2 linked regions of the Arabidopsis thaliana genome follow. The protein of the gene in region 2 purifies or fractionates together with the protein of the main gene of each other region. This does not show direct contact. Each region holds a gene or a part of one and is shown on either strand. Other genes may lie near its edges.

What was found.
Region 1: the proteins of AT1G07830 (region 2) and AT5G55140 fractionate together in Arabidopsis thaliana (co-fractionation; one large-scale study listed by BioGRID). This does not show direct contact.

What each region holds. Positions count from the first base shown.
Region 1 is NC_003076.8:22,378,716-22,382,694, reverse strand, and holds AT5G55140 (ribosomal protein L30 family protein), read right to left. Parts: upstream 1,700-3,979; 5' UTR 1,583-1,699; intron 1,363-1,582; 5' UTR 1,326-1,362; coding exon 1,134-1,325; intron 1,046-1,133; coding exon 908-1,045; 3' UTR 501-907; downstream 1-500. Other genes in the region: AT5G55150 (F-box SKIP23-like protein (DUF295)), read left to right, coding at 1-420; AT5G55135 (uncharacterized protein), read right to left, coding at 2,309-2,566, 2,656-2,736; AT5G55132 (Defensin-like (DEFL) family protein), read right to left, coding at 3,226-3,401, 3,543-3,609.
Region 2 is NC_003070.9:2,420,285-2,424,624, reverse strand, and holds AT1G07830 (ribosomal protein L29 family protein), read right to left. Parts: upstream 2,500-4,340; 5' UTR 2,274-2,499; intron 2,118-2,273; 5' UTR 2,077-2,117; coding exon 1,908-2,076; intron 1,677-1,907; coding exon 1,519-1,676; intron 1,341-1,518; coding exon 1,233-1,340; 3' UTR 822-1,232; downstream 1-821. Other genes in the region: AT1G07840 (Sas10/Utp3/C1D family), read right to left, coding at 1-22; AT1G07820 (Histone superfamily protein), read left to right, coding at 2,879-3,190; ECA1 (ER-type Ca2+-ATPase 1), read right to left, coding at 4,053-4,340.

The sequences.
Region 1 (3,979 bases), on a different chromosome or scaffold from region 2:
AGCACCTCGCCGTTTCGGTACGACTCTTGCAAGAAATACTTGGCAGAGTCGGATTACGACGAACTGTGGGTGGTCCTAAAGAAGCTGGAGCTTAACGACGATTGTGATTTCGAAACCTCTTTCGAGATTTACGAATTCAATCGCGAGACTAACGAATGGACAAAGGTGATGAGCTTGAGAGGAAAAGCTTTGTTCTTGAGCCCTCAAGGTAGATGTATAGCTGTTTTAGCAGGTGAGAGAGGATTTTTCAAAGACAACTCAGTTTATTTCATTGATGGTGATGATCCAAGTGTAGGAGGATCAGGGCCTCAGAATCTGAGCGTTTTTGAATGGGAGAGTAAGCAAATCATGAAAATTTACCAGCCAAGATCTTGGAATTGTCAGATGTTTTGGGTCACACCAACAGACGTTCCTCAGTGATGAATGACTGATGCATTGTAGAATTTGTAGTTTGCATAGTATAGGTTTTGTATTTCAAATTTCAATTCTTTGATACATTACAATTGTCATCATACATTTTGGTTCTTCATCTGTAACATATATATTAAGTTATGATTATTTCAGCATCTATCTTTCTCTCACTACTTTCATTAATCAAATTGAAAGGTAACTTTTTTGAGAATCAACTTTCACATTCTCAATCTTGAAACATTGGCCACAAAAAAAAAAAAAAACCGATAGATTTGAGATTGACAGAATGAGAGCAAAACATACACAAGTATCCAGTGTATACAAAAAACATAAAGAGGCACCAAACACACTGATACCAACATTTCTTATCAAGCGTCTAGGACTAGTTTACTTCCTGGACACCTTTAGAGAGAACTTAAACATAAGCCGCCTACAATATCCAAGCGGATCTTATCGAACTGACGGTAGAAGAGCTTACCATCTTATGAAAGTACTCTCAAGACATGTTGGATGAATCTGTTGCAGGACTCGAATGACTGACAACGAGAGGCGGGCGCAAAGCTTTGTGGTTGGCTTCTGCTTCTTTACGAGCATTGTACATTTCTTCTGTTTCAACAACAACCATCCTTTTAACCTACATAGAGGCAAAACCAACCATCACAATTTTGAAATCTAGGATTTTATGACAAATGAGAATAGATAAAAAGATAAAGGAAGAGAACCTGATCAATCATTCCCCTAATGGATGAATTGTTTGAATGCAAAACAGTACGATGACATCTACGAAGTCCCATAGCTTCAAGTGTTCGTCTGTGAAGCTTCCTTGTTCCAGGGAGACCTCTTACTAAGGTTATGTACAAGCTCTGGCTCCATTCAATAGGCACTTGTGCTTTGAAAGCTCTAAAACCACTCATTCTTTTTTTTTTTTGTCTCCTTTATCACTCAATCTCTCTGTAACCATTAACAAAATCATAATCAAGCAATCACACAGAATTCACCGTAGAAATCAATAGATACAATAAACGAAGACGATTGATAACATGAATCATGAGAGAGTGAATCATCACGAATTGAAACCAAATCAGATCGATCAATTCAGAAGAAAAGAGGAGCTGCATAACGCGAGATTTCAATTAGGTGTTTGAGATAGAAATGGATGGTTTTCGAGTACCTTGAGGAAACAGAGACGGGAGAAGTCCGGTGAAAGAGATCGTCGACGAGTGTAGTCAAGACGGCGAACAGAGCTCGGAAAATCTTTGAGATTCGCGTTTAAGGGTTTTAAGCTTTTAGCGGAACAATGGTTAAACGACAGCGTTTTGTAGATTAGCTTAATTATTTGGGCTTTATCTGGGCCCAATTATTGGCTCCTTTACCTTTTTATAATTTGTTCAAAAATTACTAGATTGGTTTCATTTTTTTTACATCAATCTTTAGATTTATTAATCTTGCAAAAACAATTTATTTCAGAAAGTGTATGATGAACAGTCAAATTCCACTGCTCTCATCACTAGTTCTAACCTCTAAATTGGTAAAAGCTATTTGCTAGGTAGGTGTATTATTTAAGGTTTTTCTACCTTCTATAAGTTCAATAGCTTTAAATCTTGGGGTTGATCAATATTATTACTAATGAGTAATGATGCATTATTAAAAAGAGAAAATTATCAAAGTAAATTATATTTATACAAAAGTAGTAGCTAAATTACATAACTAAAAGAAATCGGTAAACTTACAAATATTGGTAGACAAGAAAAAGAGAGAAAAAGGGCAACCGTTCTTCTATCCATTACTCGATTTATTATACAAAGTACATGAAGCCTATAATATTACATACATGATACATGATGCATATTATTACATACTACTACTTTACAAGTGATATCTAACAAATGCACATACGTTATATTCCTTTAGCCGTGTTGATAGGCAAACCATCATCATCATCCTCAGGTCTCTTCTTATAATTATAGTCTTTCTTATCTAAAAACGCCTCTTTCACCTTCTCCACATCCGCCTCAGAATCACCGGAGACGTTTACCGCCACCGCAGCTCCGTCAAAAGCCTTCTCAACTGTTTGGCTAGCAACACCTTGTCTTGTGAACTCCTCCGCCGTCGAAGAAGCTCTTCCTTCTTCCCTCCCTCCACTCGCACTTCCTCTCTACATATTAAGAAAACATCTCCAAAAATCTTTGTATATATATATAGTTAATCTATTTCATGAAAACGTAGGAATATCAGAATATATACCTTGAGATAAAAAGAGTAAATACATGATGTTGTTATATTAGGCTTGGAGATTGATTTTGGGTTCACATAATTTCTCAACATTTTTTCTTCGGAGGTCTCTTATTTTTGCAGCTTAGATTAGATCAAGTACCATAGATGAATTTTCCTATAGCAGTTAATTGAGACTTTTGATGTCTCATCAACGGAGGTTATGATTATGATGCCACGTGTGTGTGATGCGCCGTCGTAGCCAAAAGATGACATGTTTCCCAGGGTTAGTCACGACGTCATGCAATTTCCTTTGTAGTTAAATCCAATATACGAAGATTTCTATTTCATATTCTACAGTTTCATACATAACTTTACATGATCGATTTGACAAAATCGATGTCCTAATGACATTAACTATAAGTCGAACCGCTGTCGTTTTTCTTGTGGATTTTATTGTGTACATGTATTGAATTCTTATAAACATTTTGATGAGAGAGATTGGGGGTTGGATCAGGATGAGATTATATCAATTATCATTATATAAATATATGTTTTTAATAATATCTTATGATCGAGAGTACATATAGAATAAGAGATCAATCAATTGATGACCGGACTGGAGATGGGAGAATTAGAATAATTGTTGCAGCAACAAAATATTTTAACAGCCCCGTGAATTTTAGCGCTTTCACAATACCCTCCGCCTCTCATCATGCATCTTGTATTGCATCCTATTGTGCTTTTACATCCTTCCGTACATTTATCTGAAATTAGTCCTATACGATTTTATAAATAAAAAATTCATCAACAAAAAATTTATAAGCAAAAATGGTCAGTTTAATATTGAAAACTGTAGTTTTTTAAGAACAATTTTTTTAAAAAAAATATATAATTTGTATAACAAATAAATGTGTTACCAGAAATCATAGGTATGGTGAGGAGAGCAAACACCATCAACGTAAGTAATCGATGAGATGCAACCATTTTGGTTGTTATTTGTTATTCTTTCAAGATGATTCTATACCTGCTTCTCAAAACCTATTAAAAGCGAATTTCAAAGTTATTGTTATAACAAAAACAAAAATCTAGTAACATATTCTAAATATTTTATATTATTTTTGACTTACCTTTTGTATTTGTAATATTTCAGTACTTATTGAGAATGATTTGTGGTGGTCTTGGATGTACATTTATATAGACATACGTATATACATATATATATATATATGTAAATAATAAATCTTCCATATTATTCAAGGATTTTTTCTTCTTTTTTATAGTCTTATTTGGGTCAGATAATAATTTTAGTCAAAATGTTTCATTATTTATTCTTATCTGTCATTGGGATTATATT
Region 2 (4,340 bases):
CCGGTTTGGTGATCTCCTCCATGATTCTTGTTCAGTACTTGACAGAAGATAAGTCTGTGAAAAAAGGAAAACAAACATGAAAGTTCAGAGACTAACCCTTGAATTTGAATACCACATTAAGATACTCAGATAAACTAAACCATAGTAACTGAGAACGAAAAGAATTTAATTCATGTTGAGATTTTGGAACAGAGATTATGGTTTGGTCCAACAACGTTTGAATATCTAAGTAAGCAGCCAAAGAGTAGCTAAATAAAAGTTTCATCTTCAATCCTTACGTTTTCCTACAAATACTGTCTACCAATTTACTAATTCATAGAAACAAACATTCACGATAACCCAATGCTAACCAAAATTGATGAATTCCCAACAGAGCAACTATCTCTCCGTTTTGACTCGATTAATTGAGCTCAGTGGTTGTCGGTACACCAAATCTAGAAGCGGAAAAGACACGAAGAAGAAAGCACTCACCGGAGATAGTGAACTTGAAGGTGACAGAGAGCGACGCTAAGAAAAAGGTCACGGCGGCCACAAAGTAAAATTAATCGAAAGCCTCTCTCTACTGATTTTCCGACAATTAAAACAAAAAAAAAAAGGTTTTAAGGAGACGCATGATTCTAACATATTTCAGGCCCCATTTAGCTTTAGGGCCCAATAAGGGTGGCTAAGTTTAATTATCGCAAGACGCAAGCAAATAATTTAGCGCAATCTATGGTTTTGGTGGTTTAATCATTTTGGTTATTCAGTTTCGACAATATGATTCTTTTCTTTTATAATCAAATAATCAGATTTTATTTTAATTTTTGCTGTGTCGTTAGTCACAATAATCAGTTGAGTTTGAGAACGAACACTGAGTTCTGATTCCTTCAGTCTCCTCCATATAGCCCATATAGGACTCGACTAAACCACCAAATCTTTCATCTGCCAAAATCTACTTCATCAGTGTCGTTGCCTTGCCATTACCGTTTATGTTGGTTTTAAGAGAAAGACAAAGCTCTGAATCAACACTGACCAACATGTGTCTCAAAAAGAAACATCAACCATAAGTTACAGAAATGTGCGTACAGATACCAACCAAACGTTTTTCTACTGCCGACACTACTACAGTCACAATCATTGGACCAGTTCCAAAGTCTTGAAAGCTATGCGTTATTTCTTACTCCGAAAAACTCAACACCTCTGCGGATTGACTCGTGCTTACTGCTAGGTTGCCAAAACAAGAGCCAATGGGATCACATACCATTTACCATTCTCTTCATCTCGGCTGATCTTCTAGAATCTGGTTCTTCAATCGCTCTCTCGGTCAGCACATGCTTAATGCGGCACATTGATCTCCTCACCTATATTTGTGAGAGGCAAACAAAGTTGACATTCATTAAAAAATAATCATAATCTCCCTCGGTAACAAAGAACATAACCATTCCTTGAAGAAAGGATTCATGTTTCTTCTCGTAGTATCTATTATTTTGTCAACAACTTAATTGGATAGAGAGTCAAAGCCAAATTAGTATCGATTACCTTTGGAATGCGTTCAGGGTTAGGAAACTGCATGTTCTGAGCCTGAAGCATCTGACGCTGAGTCATCAACATGTTTTTCTCTTTGAGAAGAACGTACCACAGCTTCTGAAGATCATCCCATGACTTGAGACGCAGCTCTGAAGCTTTCCAACCTCGACCTAACACCAGAAGTTTACAAATTTTCCCCCATTAACAAAACTAAACAATCCTAATTCCAAAAACTCCATGGGAGGATAACAAAGTTAAGAAGAAAAACGAACGATTAGCAAGCTTGACTACAGTCCTAAGCTACAGTGAATTACTTTACTTCTTCACTGTACATTCTATGAACAATCCCACTAGTAAACTAGTATTAAGCAGATGAGTGGCAGAAAACAGAGAGAAGCTACCATAGACAACAGGTTTATCTTCGTCTTGGCTTCTGTCGAACTCAAAGAACTCTTCGAGTGGATTTGTTGGCGTCCGAATCGTCGAGGCAGCTGCTGCTGCTGTAGTGGACTCCGATCGCGCCGATGCAGCCGCCAAGAATCTCCTCCCGACAAATCGCGTAAGAAACATTTTAACAACAAACAATTCCTTTGAGCTTGCAGTTATATAATCTGATCATCAACAACAATCAGAAAGAGAAATCGAGATTGGATAACAAAATGGTAAATGGTTAATGAAAGTCGTACAAAATATTTCAGGCTTCCGAAGAAGTGAGAGATCGTGTACACAGAAAAGCACATCTCGCAGAGGAATAAATAAGAACTCACCGGAGATAGAGAGAGGAGAGCTATTTCACGGCGACGGTGACGGCCACAGAGAATGGAAAACCCTCTCTCAACGTTTCTCCGAGAATAACAGGTTTACGGAGACGGAAACTTTTAGGGCCCAATACTAGCTCTGTTAGTATTGATACTATTATTGGGCCAGGTTTCATTTTCTCTTTTAAGGCCTAATAAGACCCAACACTTGCAAATTATTGGAAGACGAATGCTGTTTTTGTTTTGTTTTTCAATAAAACAACATCTTTCAATTAAATTGGGAGCAATCCACGTCATCGATCCGTCAAGTATTGTTAACGATGTATAACCATTGGATCAGTAATCAACGGTTGATATGAAAAATCACACGGATCAACGCAGTTTTATATATTAAGACATTAGTTAGCCACTTCATATCCGTCAAATTCAATTGATCCTCTCTCCAAATCATCTTAAAAGTATCTTCTTCTTCTCCATCTGGTTTATTGTTCGATCGTCAATTCAATTGATTGATTTGGAAATCTAGCGTTTCTGTTCGTTACCATTCACTGAATAATTTTTCTTCTGTTCTTCACAGTCACAGATCTTTGGGTATCAAGTAAAACTGTGAAGTGATGTCGGGAAGAGGAAAGGGAGGAAAAGGATTGGGAAAGGGAGGAGCGAAGAGGCACAGGAAGGTTCTGAGGGATAACATTCAAGGAATCACCAAGCCTGCCATTCGTCGTCTTGCTCGTAGAGGTGGTGTCAAGCGTATCAGTGGTCTCATCTACGAAGAGACCAGAGGTGTCCTCAAGATCTTCCTCGAGAATGTCATCCGTGACGCCGTTACTTACACTGAGCACGCTAGAAGGAAGACGGTGACCGCCATGGATGTTGTCTACGCTTTGAAGAGGCAAGGTCGTACTCTCTACGGTTTCGGAGGTTAATCCGATTTGGGGGATTAGGGTTTATGCAAGTTTGGGGATTTCTTCTTGTTTCTGAGATCTGTGTTAAATGGTTTGAATTAGTCTAAAGTAAATCTAGGAGTGTTAGCTACTGCTTTTGTTTTCTATTGTGATGTCGTTGTTAGCCAATGCGGTGTAGTTGAAAATCTTTGCAAACTTAAAGCTAAGAAAATCTAATGAGGATGAACAATTTACTCGATATCTTGTCTCCTGGTTTTTTACCATTTTTAACTGTAATCCCAAAGCTTCTGGGAAGATTCATGTTGAATCGAGAAACAGAGCTACATTTCACCCTATCTTCATTGGTACTCGTAAGATCAGGATTCAATCAACTAAGCAATTAATGATAATTGATAAATTACAGTTGAATTCTGCTATGAGTTCGTTTTTTATAATCTATAGACTTGGAACTTTGGAAGCAGTCAATATTGCAGGAAGGGGAACTAAACAGAAAACAACTAGATTACTCTGTCTCACGTGAAGGAGAATGTATCTTTACTCTGATCTGAGTACACAAAATCAAATCACCCAACAATGAAGGCTTGGGTGAAACATTCATCAATATTTCATCCATGAATTATATTGATTTGGAAGCAGTCAATATTGCAGAAAGAGAGATCTATCTAGCACATAACTTAGGAAGCATAAAAATGAAGGGCTTTGTTGAAACATTCATCTATTTCAGGCTCTTTGTCCGTGAACCAAATGAGAAGCAAGTTAGAACATTTTTATCAAACCAAAAATTATCGTTTTAGAAAATTAAATAACCAACGCCGAGGTAAGTAACAACGCTAATTTCAGCTAAAACTAAGAGTCTAATAATATAATGCTTTTGATTTATTTCTTACTCCTCCTTTTGCTTCGTGGAAAGAGTGCGAGGTGAGTAGCGGTAGCCACTCGTACACCTTCCTACAAACTTGAGCACTTCGTCTATAAGAATCACTGGAAGCGAAACAGCCAGTACCAGCAGCCACTCGTTCAAGCTCAGTGGCACTATCCCAAATACCTGAGCCAGGAATGGCACGTACAGTATCACAAAGTGGAGCCCGAATGAGACAGCCATAGCCAGGAGTAACCACGGGTTCACCCACGGCGGCATCGTTACCAGGCTGCCGTCTTCTGAGAGTGCGTT